Linked DNA regions of Elephas maximus indicus. The protein of the gene in region 1 interacts with the protein of each later gene in a pairwise test. Links are inferred from orthologs where the notes say so. Each region holds a gene or a part of one and is shown in the gene's direction. Other genes may lie near its edges.

Region 1 (8,070 bases):
TTACTCCCTTCTCCCACTTGCTCTCCCCCTATTGAGTCAGCCCTTTCAGTCTCTCGTTTCGTGCCAATTTTGCCGTCTTCCCTCTCTTTCTATCTTCCCATCCCCCCTCCAGTCAAGAGTTGCCAACATGCTCTCCAGTGTCCACCTGAACTGCTGCAATCATTTTTGAATTATCTTCAGTAATATTTCACTTGCACGTGATATTAATGATATTATTTGGTAACGTCCTCATTCAGTTGGATCACCTTTCTTTGAAATGGGCACAAGTGTAGATCTCTTCCAGTCAGTTGGCCAGGTAGCTGTCTTCCAAATTTCTCCACGTAGATGAGTGAGTGCTTCTAGCACCGCATGTGTTTGCTGAAACATCTCAGTTGGTATCCCGTCAATTCCCGGGATACTTGTTTTTCACGAATGCCTTCAGTGCAGCTTGGACTTCTTCCTAAAGTACCCCTGGTTCCTGATCATATATAATTCAGAAGGTTTTCACTGGCTAATTCTTTTCGGAAGTAGACCACCAGTCCTTATTCCTAGTCTGTCTTAGTCTGGAAGCTTAGCTGAAACCTGTCTGCCATGGATGGCCCTGCTGGTATTTGAATACTGGTGGCACAGCTTCCAGCATCGCAGCAATACGCAAGCCCCCACAGTACGACAAACTGACAGACACCTGGGGGTTCTCAAACTTCTCTAAGGTTTGAGAAGCACTTAAAACTCTGTTCAGTTTAAAGAAAGATCATAGCCATGCAGTGGCCAAAGCTATGGTCAGTCTGAGCTCTGTGCAGAATATCCTTGTCATCCCAGATTGCCCGTTAATTTAGAAATAGAATTTTATCTCTTATGGGTAAAGATTATAACTATTTTTTCAAACTGTGCTCATATGATCAACAGTCTCAATTATCCAAAATATGGCCCAGACCCAAGAATCCTTGAAAAAAGACCCCAGGTGACAAGTATGGATGCCTTAGGTTCTACATCTCAGGGCTTCTGTGTTTTACTCATTGGAGAGATTACAATCCTAATAAATTTGATGCTATGTTTCACTGCCCAGAAAAGATTGGAAGCAACAAATTTAAACTAGAGCAAAGGGAAAGATATAGACTACAGGTCAGGGTGAGGTTTACATTGAGGACCAGAACAGCTCTAAAATTTTCACGGTTATTTCGTTTTACAAACCTCATTCACACCTCAAAAACAGTAACCCAAATCTTAGGGTGTGGGATTGGCTCTCAACCCTGGCTGTTCCCCAAGCCTTATCACGCAAAGATTCTAATTTAATTGGTTTGGGTTGGGGTCGAGGATCAGGTAGTTTATCAACACTTTCCAGGTGTTTCTAATAGGCAGCCAGGATTGCACTGGCCTAGTGGTTTAGGGCCAATCAGCGTAGGGGCCCAGAGGCAGGGACACCTTAGTAACCTCTACGTAGAGTCTTTACAGCTAGCTACAATCATTGAAATTGGTTAAGAGGACCTTAATTGCCAGGATTTTCTCTTAAGAGGAAAACAGTATATATTGGAAGTGATTTTAACATAACAAAAGATAACCGGGAACTAAATGATACAGAGATACCTATTCAATTCCTGCGTCATAGTTAAAGAACTCTAGAGAGCACTGATGGCATGAGACAGACACCCACCGCCACTTCCCCCTAATTGTTCCCCTAGACCAGCACTAAATGTGCCCACGACTCACTCAGGGATCTTGTTAAAACACAGATTATGACTCAGCAGGTCTGCAGTGGGCCTCAAGGCTCTGCAATTCTCATAAGCTCCAGGTGATGCTGATGTTGCTGGCAGTGGCGTCACTAGGATTGGTGTTACTCAGTGCAATTACTCATGGTGTCACCCCTGCATGGACCTCCTCCCATACCAGACCATACAGAATCCTTTGCAATGTTTTTGTACATAAATCATAATTTTGGTATATCACTCCTTTTCCTTTAATTACTACTTTCTTCTCAAAAGAGTTATTGATATAAGTTCACAAATACTAATTACCACAATATTGTAGCTAAAACATCAGAAAATTTGACAAAATCAGAGGCTATAAAAATACCAGCAGCAACGAAAACAAGTGTGTGCTTGTAGCACCTGTGGGCAAAACCATGTGATTGAAAGCATCATTGTAATTGAGTAATAATGGCGGCTCTGACCTGAGGGCATTAACAGGCTCAAAAGTAAATTAGCATAGAGTTTCAGCCTTGTAGGTATATTGATACCTGTAAGCTGGGTTTACAAAAAATGTTTTTGTTGTTGTAACTAACTACAGTGATATTTTTATAAAAAATAATAAATTTCTACTGGAACACTGACGAAAATTTTATGGAGAGTCATTTTGGTGCCGCCCCTTCTGATGGACAATGGTTGCTGGTCTAGGGAACACACTTAGAGGAACAAGGCTCTAGATAATACTATGGCCACGACTCACCCTCAGCATCCTTCTTTGGAACCCAAACAGGAAGGATGGCTTCCTCACTCCCGAAGAGTGAATTCCACTGAGGGCCTTAATGTCCACTCTGCTCATGACATTCCTGAACTAATATCATGAGCTTGTCCAGCTTTTGTCTATTCTCACTTCCCAATAGGCAACTTCATCATGGTTGAGTTGAAAATGGGTTTAGAGCATATCTAGCTTGGTCCATTCATTACAAAAGTATGGCCCAGACGGCAGAGGTTCTGCCAAGTTCACAGGTGGTAGTAGCAAAGTCAACACTGGGTCCAAGTCAAGACATGAGGGCATCAGTTAAGGATTCTGTCAATATGAGTCAAAATAACTGTTTTGGGTTATTTTCTTCACAGAACATCCACTTGATTATTCTCGGGGGAACCTCGCAGACCATTAAAGGACAAAGTTACCAAGGAATAGACTGAAAGCCCTAAGATGATGTAGATAACATGCTGGAGGCTCCCACACACACACACATTCCCAGTTCCCCAGGACTACACAATGGCTATTGTTTCCCCTCCTGTGGAATTTCCATGAAAAAGGCTCAAAGACGCCAGAGAAACCATTAACCTTCTGGGCCATCCTTATTTTACTTTTCATTTTTTGGAACCCATTCTCAAATAATTTTCTAAGTCCCGCACAGGAATAACATATACTTTTGCTTAATACTAAGACGCCCCAGTGTGAAACTGAAGAAATACATTGTCCTTCCAAAGGGTGGTGGAGGTGCGGGGAGGGAACCTCATTCCTGGAAGATTCGCAAGCTTATCCAGCCAAAAGGCCTCTGATTCTCCAAAAGCAGAGTGAGTGCTAATTAGAACAGCTGACCCAGTGAGTCCTGGGGCAAATGAGGTGACTGGGTCAGTAGCCACACTGGCTCCTGGATGCTCCTTAATTGCCACAAGAGTCCACGCCAGAGGTGCTGCTTAAGCTGGAACTTGCTATCATTTCTGACCTCAAAGCTCTGGACCAGGCTGCGACTTCCCCCATAGAGCCTGTTCCCACCATTTTCATCTCATCTCACTCCCAGTGGCTATTTAGTCAAGGACGGTCCACAGGGAATTCAGCCTGAAAGCCAGCAGTCTGAATATTAAATGCCAACACCACTATGGGCTTCACTTGGAAAGAGCTTTGTTAGGCTTTTGTCTTCTGTTGTGCTCCCGGTAAATCCAATCATATCGCTATTACCTCAGGCTACCTCAGCTCATTCTTGGGAATTAGGCTAGCTGGATACGCGGAGAAGCAAATACTCACCTTTGCTGTCAGGGGATCAGACATCAAACTCATTTTCACCTTTACGACATTTCAAAGGATCCCAAATTATTTTCTTGGTGCCCAGTCAGAAAGGAGTCCCTGGGCAGTGCAAATGACTACTAGCCGAAAGGTTGTGGTTCCAACCCACTCAGGGGGGCCTTGAAAGAAAGCCTGGTGATCTGCTTCTGAAAGGTCACCACCTTGAAAACCCTAAGGAAGGCTAAGGAAGGCAGTTCTAATCTGCACACACAGGGTGGCCATGAGTCAGAAATGACTTGGTGGCAATTTTTTTTTTTTTTAATCAGAAAGATGGGAGAGAACTGAAAGGCCAGGCACCCAACCGTGACCAGTCATGCTATTTCAGCAAAGAGGCTGGAAATGGTTTCACATTTTTTCCCTTGTCCTTTATGTTCTTAATTGTCTTAATGGGCATGTGTTACTCCAACATGAAGTGAAATTATTTTCCTTATTTGCTGTAACTTCCAGGGACAGTTTGATCACATAACCCAGGGACTTTTCAACTCCATTGATCTTGGGGCGGAGGGGTTTCTTTCCAAGCATTCATTTTGAGCTACGCTTTCTCTAATGAATTCAGAGCCTATAAAGGGAACGGCCCATGTTTCTTCATCACCTTGTTTCACAATAGCTATTAGACAACCACAGCATCATCAAAGCCGTGGAAAATGTGTGCCTGGGCGGAGGGGGCACTTCAAGAATTGCAGTGTTGCCAAGGACACAGATTCTGTGAGCCAGGGAAGCCGAGGCCTGGGTCAGGCCGCAGGGGCTTTCAGGCCCAGAAGAGTTGGAGGGCCACTGGCTCCAGGTGCCTGGGGTCAAGGGTAGCCTGCGAGTTCAGCAGAGGCCTGGAGCCCCCAGTCCAGGGTTGGCTTGACCAGCCACACGCAGTGGTTCCGGACAGTGGGGTCCTGACGCCACAACGGCGCCTCGCGACAGCAGAAAGGACCAGGGTCATAGAGCAAGGTACCCGGCCAGCAGTGGGGTGTGGGGGCTGGGCGGGACGGCTGGCTGGGAACTCCAGGAACCCCTGGGGCTGGGGCCTGGGCCTCAGGGCTGCCCCCGATCTTACTCGAGGGCACAGCCACGCCCGCGCCACTCCTCGCCGGCTCACCCCTTTCTCCCGCCACACCCTGCCCTTTTCCGCTCCGCCCCGCCCTCCGCCCCGCCCCACTCTCCGCCTCGCGCCCCGCCCTCCTCCCGCCCCGCCACCTGGGGGCGCTGTGCGAGGTCCGCTATAAATGCGTCGGGGCCGTGCATCCCTCCGATCAGCGAGTGGCGGCGAGTGGCGCCGTGCTTGTCCTCCTTGACTGCCCCAGGCTCCATGGCCCAGCAGCGGCGCTCCAGTGCGCAGTCGGTCTTGCACCCGGACCGCCTGTGGTTCTGGGAGAAGGCCGTGTATTTGGACGAGAACCAGCACGCCTGGCTGCCCATAATCATGGAGGTACAGCCCGCTTCAGGCAGAGGCAGGCAGGACTGTATGGGCGCTCGTTGCCTTCCCGGCGGGGCCCCCCGGAGCTGGAGATGCCCCAGGCTGGGCTGGGCCTTTGAGGAGCCCCGGTCCGGCAGCGAGGGTGGTGGCAGGAAGGCTTGGAAGGGGTCTGATTAACAAAGGGCAGCCCAGGCTTCGCAGATGAAACCACTTATAGAGCAGGGTTCTGAAGGATGAGTAGGAGTTCTCCAGGCCAGGAAGGAGGGTGGTGATTACTCAAAGGTATGGAGGCTAACGGATGAGGACCCAGTGGCTCTGGCATGTGTGAATATGATCTTGGTTAAGACAGGACTTCTCTGGGCTTCAGGTTCCAAAAAAAAACCCAAACCCGTTGCCGTGGAGTTGATTCCAACTCGTAGCGACCCTATAGGACGTGGTAGAACTGCCCCGTAGGGTTTCCAAGGAGCGGCTGGTGGATTTGAACTACCGACCTTTTGGTTAGTACCTGAGCTTTTAACCTCTCTGCCAAATGAGAATAATATCTCTCTAAAGTAAGGGAGTAAGTGACTCCTACGCCTGGCCGGTTATCAGACCCTCCTGGTGTGGGCCCCAGAAATACGTGTTTTAAAAAGTACCCTCAATAGATTGATTCGGCTAGTGGTTAAGAGCTCAGGCCGCTAACTAAAAGGTCGGCAGTTTGAATCCACCGTCCGCTCCTTGGAAACCCTGTGAGGGCAGTTCTACTCTGTCCTGTAGGGTCGATATGATTCAGAATCGACTTGATGGCAGTGGGTTTGGTTTTCTGGGGCTTAAGTTTGGGAACCACTCCCAGAGGATGGGGTGTTTTATACCTTCTCTATGCTTTGGAGGAAGCCGATTTAACGCGTAATACCTTACTAAAAAGGCTGGTGTGGAATAAACGTTGACTTTGTTTTACCCCTGATGCTTTACGATGGATCCTTAGCTAATGCGAATTTCTTCTTAAAGAAATATAACTCTTTTGCAAGTGCCTTCCACCAGAGCCTTGGTTTCCCCAAAGGTGAAAAATACTGAAAATTTTCCATATGTAGAGTGAAGAAAGTATAAAAGTGAATTAAAATATAGAGTAGAACATTCATGTAATATAGCAAACAGCAAAAAGTTATTGAGTGTTGACTCTGTCCCCACTTTACAGATGATGAAACTGAGGCATAAAAATGTAAACTTGTCCAAGGTAGCACAGATAGTAGGTAAAGGGGTTGGAATTCCAGGCTCTTAACCGCCTTCTAAACTTGGTATTAATTTATATTTTAATTTCAAAAGCATGCATATATATATATATATATATATATACTTTAAAAAATCAAGTTAAATATTTACTTTTTAATTCAAATATTTGAAGAAAATTTAGGTGAATGTATTTTTTTTTTTTTAATCTCTGGAGAATATCTTCTTGAACATGACACTGAAACCAAGAACTAGACAGAGTTTTCCACAAAATCAGTATAAATTCTGCATGGAAAGTAACCCAGTAGCAAACTGAAGAGGAGTAGAGTGAGATTTGCCACACATGACTAAAAGAACCACTATTCTTCATATATAAAGGTTTACTTAAATCAATAAGAAACACTAACAAGGCAAGAATAGTGATACCCACACTTACATCTTGCAGTGTGATCTGAATAATTTTTTAACAGTGAGCATTAGTTTCTTTCACAGAAAATAAGACTATTTCCACTTTGAAAAATTGTTCATTAAACAAATGTGAGTGCTAAGTATCATGTCAGGCAGGGTTCTAGGCTCTGGGGCACACATTAAATGTGATAAAATCTCAGTGCTTGTGAAGCTGACAGTCTGCTGGGAGAGATGGATAAAAAAATAGCTCTTAAGCTGGTGGTAAGTTCTGTAGGAGAATTAGAGTGGGGTGGGAGGAGACAGTGAGTGATGTGGGGGTCTTCAGGCAAGACCCCTCTGAGGGTCTTAATGTTCTTTTGCCCGTCGTTTTCTTTGTAAACTTTCTGAATCTCCATGTTGTAGGGATGCTCTTACATAGTCATAGAGTTGGATTTGCTGAGCTCATTCATTTTGATTGGTGAATTGAACTCATTGTCAGTTACTGATATAACTGATGAGTCTGGTCTCAGTTCTGCCATATTGTTTCCTATTATGTTTGTCTCTATATACATACATTTGAGCAGAAACCAAATCAAAACCAGACCTTTAGCCACTGCGTCGATTCTGACTTACGGCAACCCCACGTGCTACAGAGTAGAACTGCTCCGTAGGGTTTTCTTGGGCTGTAGTCTTTACGAAAGCATATCTCCAGGACTGTCTTCTGTGGTGCCACAGGGCGGGTTTGAACTGCCAACCTTTAGGTTAGTATTTGAGCACAAATCGTTTGCACCACCCAAGAACTTTTATACAGTTGAGCAGAGACCTGCCTAAAAGAAGGGTGTTACCCTGCCTAGATCTGGGGGAGAATGTTCCAGGCATAGAGGACAGCAGGTGCAAGGGATCCTGAGAGCAGACATGAGTGTGGCGTGTTCGAGAAATTGAGAGGGGGCCTGTGTGGCCAGGACAGGGTGGAGAGTGAAGGACAGAGCCACAAGAGAGGAGGGAGGCAGGGGCCCGGCAGTGTGGGTTTTTGTGTGGTGTGGTAAAGATTTCCACTCATTCTGCCTGGGACTGGGCCATCAGAGGGTGTTGAGCAGGGGAGTGGTGTGGTTTTTAGACGCTCACCCTGGCTGCTGTGCAGAGAACTGACCGTGGAGCACCAGGCGGTGACTTACAGAGCTACTGCGGTAGTTCAGATGAGAGGTGCTGGTGGTGAGAGTTAGAGGTGGTGGAAAGCAGCCTGCCACCAGATCCTAGGGTCCAGGGATATCTTATTTAAAAGAAGAAATATGACAAGATAAAGAATAGCCCATGAAGGCTGAAATAGGCACCTAAAG
Region 2 (6,990 bases), on another chromosome or scaffold:
GGTGGATTTGAAGTGACCGTTAGGTTTTTTTTTTTTTTAGGTTGGCAGCTGTGCTCTTAACCACTGTGCCAGCAGGGCTCCAAACAGCATATAAGGCTGTTCAGTGAGGGAATTTACAAATTGTTCTAGGTATTTACCCTGACTGTGTCAAATCATACAAAAAATTCTTTTGTTTGAAAAATAATATTTGTTATAGTAGCTAATATTTATTGAACTGTTCCAAGTGCTGAGCACATTATAAATGTGAATAAATGTTAGGTATGACAAATTTAGAGGATTACTCGCAACTTGGAAGATGATCATGATGTCTATAAAAAGACAGCACAGGAAACATTAAATATACCAACAGGTGCATTAAGATCATAGACTAAAGTAAGTAGCAAGTGGTGGGTGCAGTGTAAAATCCTAGTAGGGGGTAGCCTTTACCAGAGCGGAGTGGATCAGTTATTTGAGAGATTTTGGAAAGACCCCTAGAAAGGGGTTGAGCTCCAAGCACTATTATCCATTTTCTGTAAACTATATCATTGCATATGGTTACTATAAACCAAGCACTATGAATGTGACTATAAATAAGACAATCTTGCTGAGGAGTTTGTTAAGGAGATACGTATTTAAAAAAAAAAAAACCTAATAGAGGTATATACAGAAGAATGCACAAGTCGTTAGTATTCAGGTTGAATTTTCAGTGGAGATGGTCATGTAAAATGACCTAGATTAAGAAACACTGTCCTCACTTGAGTGTCTTTTATGACTAATCTCTGAAGTGATATATATCATTTCTGCTCTATTTTATATGTAATACAGACCAATCCTGGTACATGTGGGACAGAACTACACCAGGTTGTGAATACCAGGCGGTAGGATCCTTGGAGGCCTTGGAAGCTGACACCTACAATCATCCATTGAGTTTCCTTATGCAGTCTTCCAAATGTTAACACATTTCATCAAACAATATAAATAAAAATCATATCTGATAATATTACCACAGATGTCATTAGAAAAGTACTGAAGTATCAAGAAGCTGTCAAGATCAGGATGATGAATGTAAGTTTTCCAAAATTCTGTTTATTACTTAGAACCTTGAATTTTATCATTAGCAACAAGTGTTGTCAATTGTTTTTCTTGAGGTAACAGGGTCCCTTTGTTCATTTTTAAGAAAGGGCCTGTCAAATAACCAGTCTGTCATTCATTCTTCTGAATGTTGTATTCTATGGGAAAAGTCTAGTTTATAGTGCAGTGTCACAGGTGTTTTCCTTGAGACAACACTGTACTTCAGAATGCAGAAGAAGTGCTTTTGAGTACTTCCCATTTTGTCACACAATGTTAAAAAGATGTTTACTTGAGTCATTTTAATAAATCATATCTTCCTATTAGTATGAAAGTTGTGACTTGGAGGACTACTAAAGTGGTCTCGGCGAAACTCAGGAGTCTGAGGCTTACACTTTGAGAATCATTGCCCCACATCGGTGGTTCTCAAAAAGGCAGGGGGAGGAGGAGATGACACCTCCCCACACTTCTAGTTGGAAATGTCTGGAGACATTTTTGGTTGTCACAACTGCAGGGTGTGTGTGTGTGTGTGTGTGTGTGTGTGCATCTACTGGGATGCCAGTAAACCAGGGAAGCTACTAAACACTCTACAATGCACAGGGCAGCCCCCGCTACAAAGAAATATTTGCCCAAAATGTCAATAGTGTGGTATTTAAGTAAATGGTCTACAAAAATTGCCTTCTCTTGCACAAGATAGCTACATGGGTAAAGTAACAACCACCTCGAGAGGCAGCATATGATCGAGAACTGGTGGTACTGAAGGGAAGAAGTCTATGCTGCACTGAAGGCACTGGCGAAAAACAAGGCCCCAGGAATTGATGGAATACCAATTGAGATGTTTAACAAACGGATGCAACACTGGAAGTACTCACTCATGTATGCCAAGAAATTCGGAAGACAGCTACCTGGCCAACCGACTGGAAGAAATCCGTATTTGTGCCCATTCCAAAGAAAACAGAACATGGAAATTATTGAACAATATCATTAATATCACATGCAAGTAAAATTTTGCTGAAGATAATTCAAAAACAGTTGCAGCAGTACATCAAGGAATTGCCAGATACTCAAGCTGGACTCAGAAGAGGACTTGGAATGAGGGATATCATTACTGATGTCAGATCTTTGCTGAAAACAGACAATATCAGAAAAATGTTTACCTGTGTTTTATGACTGTGCAAAGGCAATGAATTGTGTGAATCCTAACAAATTATGGATGACACTGTGGAGAATGGGAATTACAGAACACTTTATTGTGCTCACGTAGAACACTTTATTGTGCTCATGTAGAACCTGTACACAGACCAAGAAGTCAGTCCTTCAAGCAAAACAAGGGGATGCTACATGGTTTAAAGTCAGAAAAGGTGTGCGTCAGAGCTGTATCCTTTCACCATACTCATTCAATCTGCATACTGAGCAAATAATTCCAGAAGCTGGACTATATGAAGAACAACAGGGCATCAGGATTGGAAGAAGACTCATTAACAACCTGCGTTACGCAGATGACACAACCTTGCTTGCTCAAAGTGAAGAGTACTTGAACCACTTAAAATAATGAAGATCAAAGACCACAGCCTTCAGTATGGATTATGCCTCAACATAAAACAAAAATCCTCACAACTGGACCAATATGCAACGTCATGATAAACAGAGAAAATACTGAAGTTGTCAAAGATTTCATTTTATTTAGATCCACAATCAACATCCATGGAAGTGGCAGTCAAGAATTCAAAAAACAATTGCATTGGGCAAATCTGCTGCAAAAGATCTCCTTAAAGTGCTAAAAAGCAAAGATGTCACTTTGAGGACTAAGGTGTGCCTGACCGAAGCCATGGTATTTTTAATTGCCTCATACACATGCAAAAGGTGGACGATGAATATGGAAGATTGAAAATTGATGCCTTTGAATTATTGGAAAATAATTATGGGAAAAGAATACTGAATATACACCATTAACTGCCAGAAGAATGAACAAATCTGTCCTGGAAGAAGTTCAACCAGAAAGCTCCTTAGAATCAAGGATAGAGAGACTTGTCTCAGTACTTTGGACATGTTACTCGAGGGACCAATCCCTGGAGAAGGACGTCATGCTTGATAAAGTAGAGGGGTCAGTGAAAGAGGAAGACCCTCAATGAGATGGACTGATGCAGTGGCTGCAACGCTGGACTCAAACATAGCAACGACTGTGAAGATGGCAAGGACCGGGCAGTGTTCCGTTCTGTTGTACACAGGGTTGCTCGAGTGGGAAACGCCTCCATGGCACCTAACAACTTTTAAGCTTCCTGAACATTTATCTGTGCTACATTTGCCCACTTAGTTATTTTCAAGACATTAACCATTGTTACCTTCAGGTGATAATTCTCTGCTGGATCCAATCTGTTAGTGCCCACGTGATGCCTACAGTTCAACCCTGCCCTCCCTGACCTCGCCCTTCTTTAAACCTTTTTCAATCGAGTTTTGCTCTCTGTTCTCTGCGTCTGGCCCGCCTCCTCAGCTAGGTTGTAAACTCCTCTGAAACCCCCTAAAAATCGTCTTTCTCGCGCCTTGCTAGCTTTACCCTCCGACTGGGCGGGCCGCGCGGGAAGGCCAGGGCTGCTTCTCTCTGCGCGCACCTCAGCTAGCGCAGCCGAATTTGCTGCGCTCCCGCACTGCGGACCCTGGCCTGTCGGTCGCTCCGGGCTGCAGATGGCGCTCCCGGCCCGGACGGCCGCACTACAAATCCCCGAGGATAATGCGGCCGGGGGAGCGCAGTGGCTTCTGGGATTTGTGGTCCTAGTGCAGAGATTGGCGGACGAGAGCGCCCCCGAGTGTCGCCTCTCTCCCGCCTTCTACTCTGGGCCGTTCGGACGCCCTGAGTCGGCCAACTCCGTTTCCTAGGAAACCAGGCACTTCGGGCAATGAAGTAAGAGCTGGGCAAGATAACTTCCGCTTCCTGTGGGCAAAGGGTAAGCGGAATGTAAATACTGGACCACGGGAGTGGTCATCAGGTAACCGGGGCTGCCCGGGTCGCGGTTAAAGTTGAACGACGAGGAGGGAAACAAGGTGAATCGCAGTGTGGTTAGGAGAGAGAGAAGCTTCAAAACTCGAAATTAAGACTCTACGAGGGGTGTGGCAGAACCGAGACACTAAGGTTGGTCTCCAGAGACAAGCGAGTCGGGGATCGGGCTCCGTCTTCCTCGTTGCCTGGGCCCGCTCAACGCTTCCGAGGCGGGCGCTGCGGCTTTGACCCCCGAGTTGTGGGAGGAGAGCGAAGGAGCTTGCTTGCCACCCCGTGTGGAAGGTGTGTGGGATTGAGGGCGGGCCTAGTGAACACGCGGGTGACCTCCAGGGCAGTCTTTATTGTGCACTTTCCACATGTTTATTGTTATATCCCGGTGAAGGAAAAGCTAGTACTGGTTTCTTTCTTGTGGCGGTATCTTGGGTTAAATCATTTCTTGAATTCCTCACATCGAAACACATCCCGGTGCCCGGAAGGATTGCTTGTTAGGATTTCCGGTCGACTTTATCTTTTCGTTTCTTGCCTGGAGTGCTGCATTCGTTGAGGCAGCCGAGATGAGCGTTTTCTGACTTATGGTTGCAGAATACAATGTCGTTTTTTAGATTTTTTTTCCTTTGGCATTCATTAAATACAAATCTGTATAAACTGTTGGATTTGCGTGAAGCTCATGTGATTGTGATTTAATGATTTCTTATCCTGGTGAAAAAATGTAAATGGTTGGATATTGGCTCCTTGTGCATCTAACTATACCAGGAATACCTCTGTTATAAAAAAACTTTAATTTCATGTTCAGATAGCCTTAGAAGAACAGTGTTGTTGTTCGGTCCGGATGAGTCCACTCATAGCGACCCCCTGTGACAGAGTAGAACTGCCCCATAGGGTTTCCTAGGCTGTAATCTTTACCGGAGCTGATGGCTAGACCTCTCTCACATGGAGTCGCTGGGTCCGTTCGAATAGAAAAGCAAAACCCTTATTAACATTTCAGATATCTGAGTTAACTCAGAGCGTTGAAATTTCCAAGGTGTAAAGTGTTCCTGCATGTATTACTTCTCTCCTGTAGGACTCTCCCTTCCAGGAGGGCTAAGTTTTAGTCTTCAAAACTTTTGGCCTTCAGGCAGTGGCGTCACTAGAATTAGTGTTACCCGATGTGGTAACTCATTGTGTCACCTTCCCTCCCCCTCCCCTCCTCGTGGACCTCCTCTGGTACCAGACCATACAGAATCCTTAATAATGTTTTTTGTACTGCTACTCATAAATTGTAATTCCCATATATCACTCATTTTTTTTCTTTTAATTACTACTTCATTCTCAAAAAAGTTATTGATACAGGTTCATAAATACTAATTACCACAATATTGTAGCTAAAACACCAGAGAATTTGACAAAATCAGCAACTATAAAAACACCAGCAACGAAAACAACAGCTCTAAACTACATGATTCAAAACGTCATCGTAATTGGGTAATAATGACAACTCTAATCGGAGCGCGATACAAGGCTGAAAAAGTAAATTAGCATAGAGTTTTAACTGTGCAGGTATATTGATACATAAGCTGGGTTTACAAAAAATATTTTTGTTGCTGTAACTACAGGGATGTTCTTATAAAAAGTAATAAATTTCTGCTGAAATACTGCACAAAAGTTTTACAGATAGTCATTTTGTTGTCATCCCCGCTGACAGTGTCACCCCTCTAATGATGCGACTGCTTCAGCCATAGCGTCTTTTGTTTCTTCTCTTATAGCGCCTATCCTGTGTTGTAACTGAATGTATACTTCTGGTCTCCAGACAGTTTTGAAGAAAATCTAAAACCACAGTAATGGACTTGGTAACAGATTTATGCTTTTTAATCTCAGTAGATCGCTGATATAGATTGATATCTTTACTCATCCCTTATTGTTGCTCTTCCTATTTTCCACAGTGTCTATTTCAGATCTTTTCCATTCTTCTTAACTGCTCAGATCCATTTATTTTGAGCAGATGATTAGCCACCTACATCCCTGAGAAATGTGAAGCCATGGGATGTGAAATCCCCTACTTTCCTTTCTTCCACCACTGAACTTGCCTATGCTTTTACTCAAAAAACCAAAAATCAAACCCATTGCTTTCTAGTCAATTCTGACTCCTTAACTCCTTATTTTCTATGTTAGAGGAATGTATTCTTGTTTCTGTCTTCACAGGTAAACTTTGATTTGCTAGTGTTATCAGGCCTTCTATACCCCTAGAACTTCCTTTTGTCCTGCTTCACCAGCTTCTAATATCTAGAAGGTGTCAAGGGATTTGTAAGGAAGAACTGCAGAAACACCTGAGGTGGCAGCGTGTGTGTGTGTGTGTGTGTGTGTCTTTCATACCTGGTTGAGAACCACCACCTGAAGTCTGAACCTATCCTTGTCTTCAGCATTTATAACAATGGTAAAGTTGGAGGATAGGGGAGGGTAGTGGGAGTCTGAATGACCTATTAATCCTTTAAAAAGTATAGGTGTCTAGAATTATGCATTTTTCCTTTCCTTTCCATTCTGTTCTGCTTCCAATAATCTACAAACTTTGCTAGTGATTCGTAATGTAATTTGTCTTCAGTAAACGTACCAAGATTACATTTGGTAGTATTAAAAAGGCTTCTTACATGCCTGGAGCCTCAGCTTGCTGATATAGAAAAAAAGTTCCATTTGCAAGCTTGAAGCCAGAAAAATTGATCATCCTCATTCCCGGTTACCCTTAGGGACAGTCATAAATGTAAGACTTCTTTTTTATCTTGGCTTATCCCAATGTCTTGTGAGACCTTCCTAATGATACATTCCTTGACGTTTGTCTTCACACTGTGCCCCAACACTTCTGTTCCCCATACATCACACTTCCATTTTCAGCCATTTCTTGGTTATTCCCCAGGGTACTTGCAGTTGTCTTTAAATATATGAAATTGATTCTCCTGTGTTATGATGGGCCTAGGGAA

The links. The genes of interacting proteins can lie anywhere in the genome.
Region 2: the proteins of TCL1A (region 1) and TTC33 interact in binary tests that used the Homo sapiens proteins (3 or more experiments, as listed by UniProt). The two-hybrid records come from large-scale screens. The link is inferred for Elephas maximus indicus from reciprocal best matches to the Homo sapiens genes TCL1A and TTC33.

The regions. Positions count from the first base shown.
Region 1 is NC_064828.1:109,306,472-109,314,541, reverse strand, and holds the start of TCL1A (T-cell leukemia/lymphoma protein 1A), read left to right. Parts: upstream 1-5,032; coding exon 5,033-5,152; intron 5,153-8,070. UniProt on the Homo sapiens protein: Enhances the phosphorylation and activation of AKT1, AKT2 and AKT3. Promotes nuclear translocation of AKT1. Enhances cell proliferation, stabilizes mitochondrial membrane potential and promotes cell survival.
Region 2 is NC_064820.1:46,838,611-46,845,600, reverse strand, and holds the start of TTC33 (tetratricopeptide repeat protein 33), read left to right. Parts: upstream 1-3,924; 5' UTR 3,925-3,941; coding exon 3,942-3,946; exon of another isoform or gene 3,947-3,989; intron 3,990-3,994; exon of another isoform or gene 3,995-4,324; intron 4,325-5,769; exon of another isoform or gene 5,770-5,868; intron 5,869-6,990.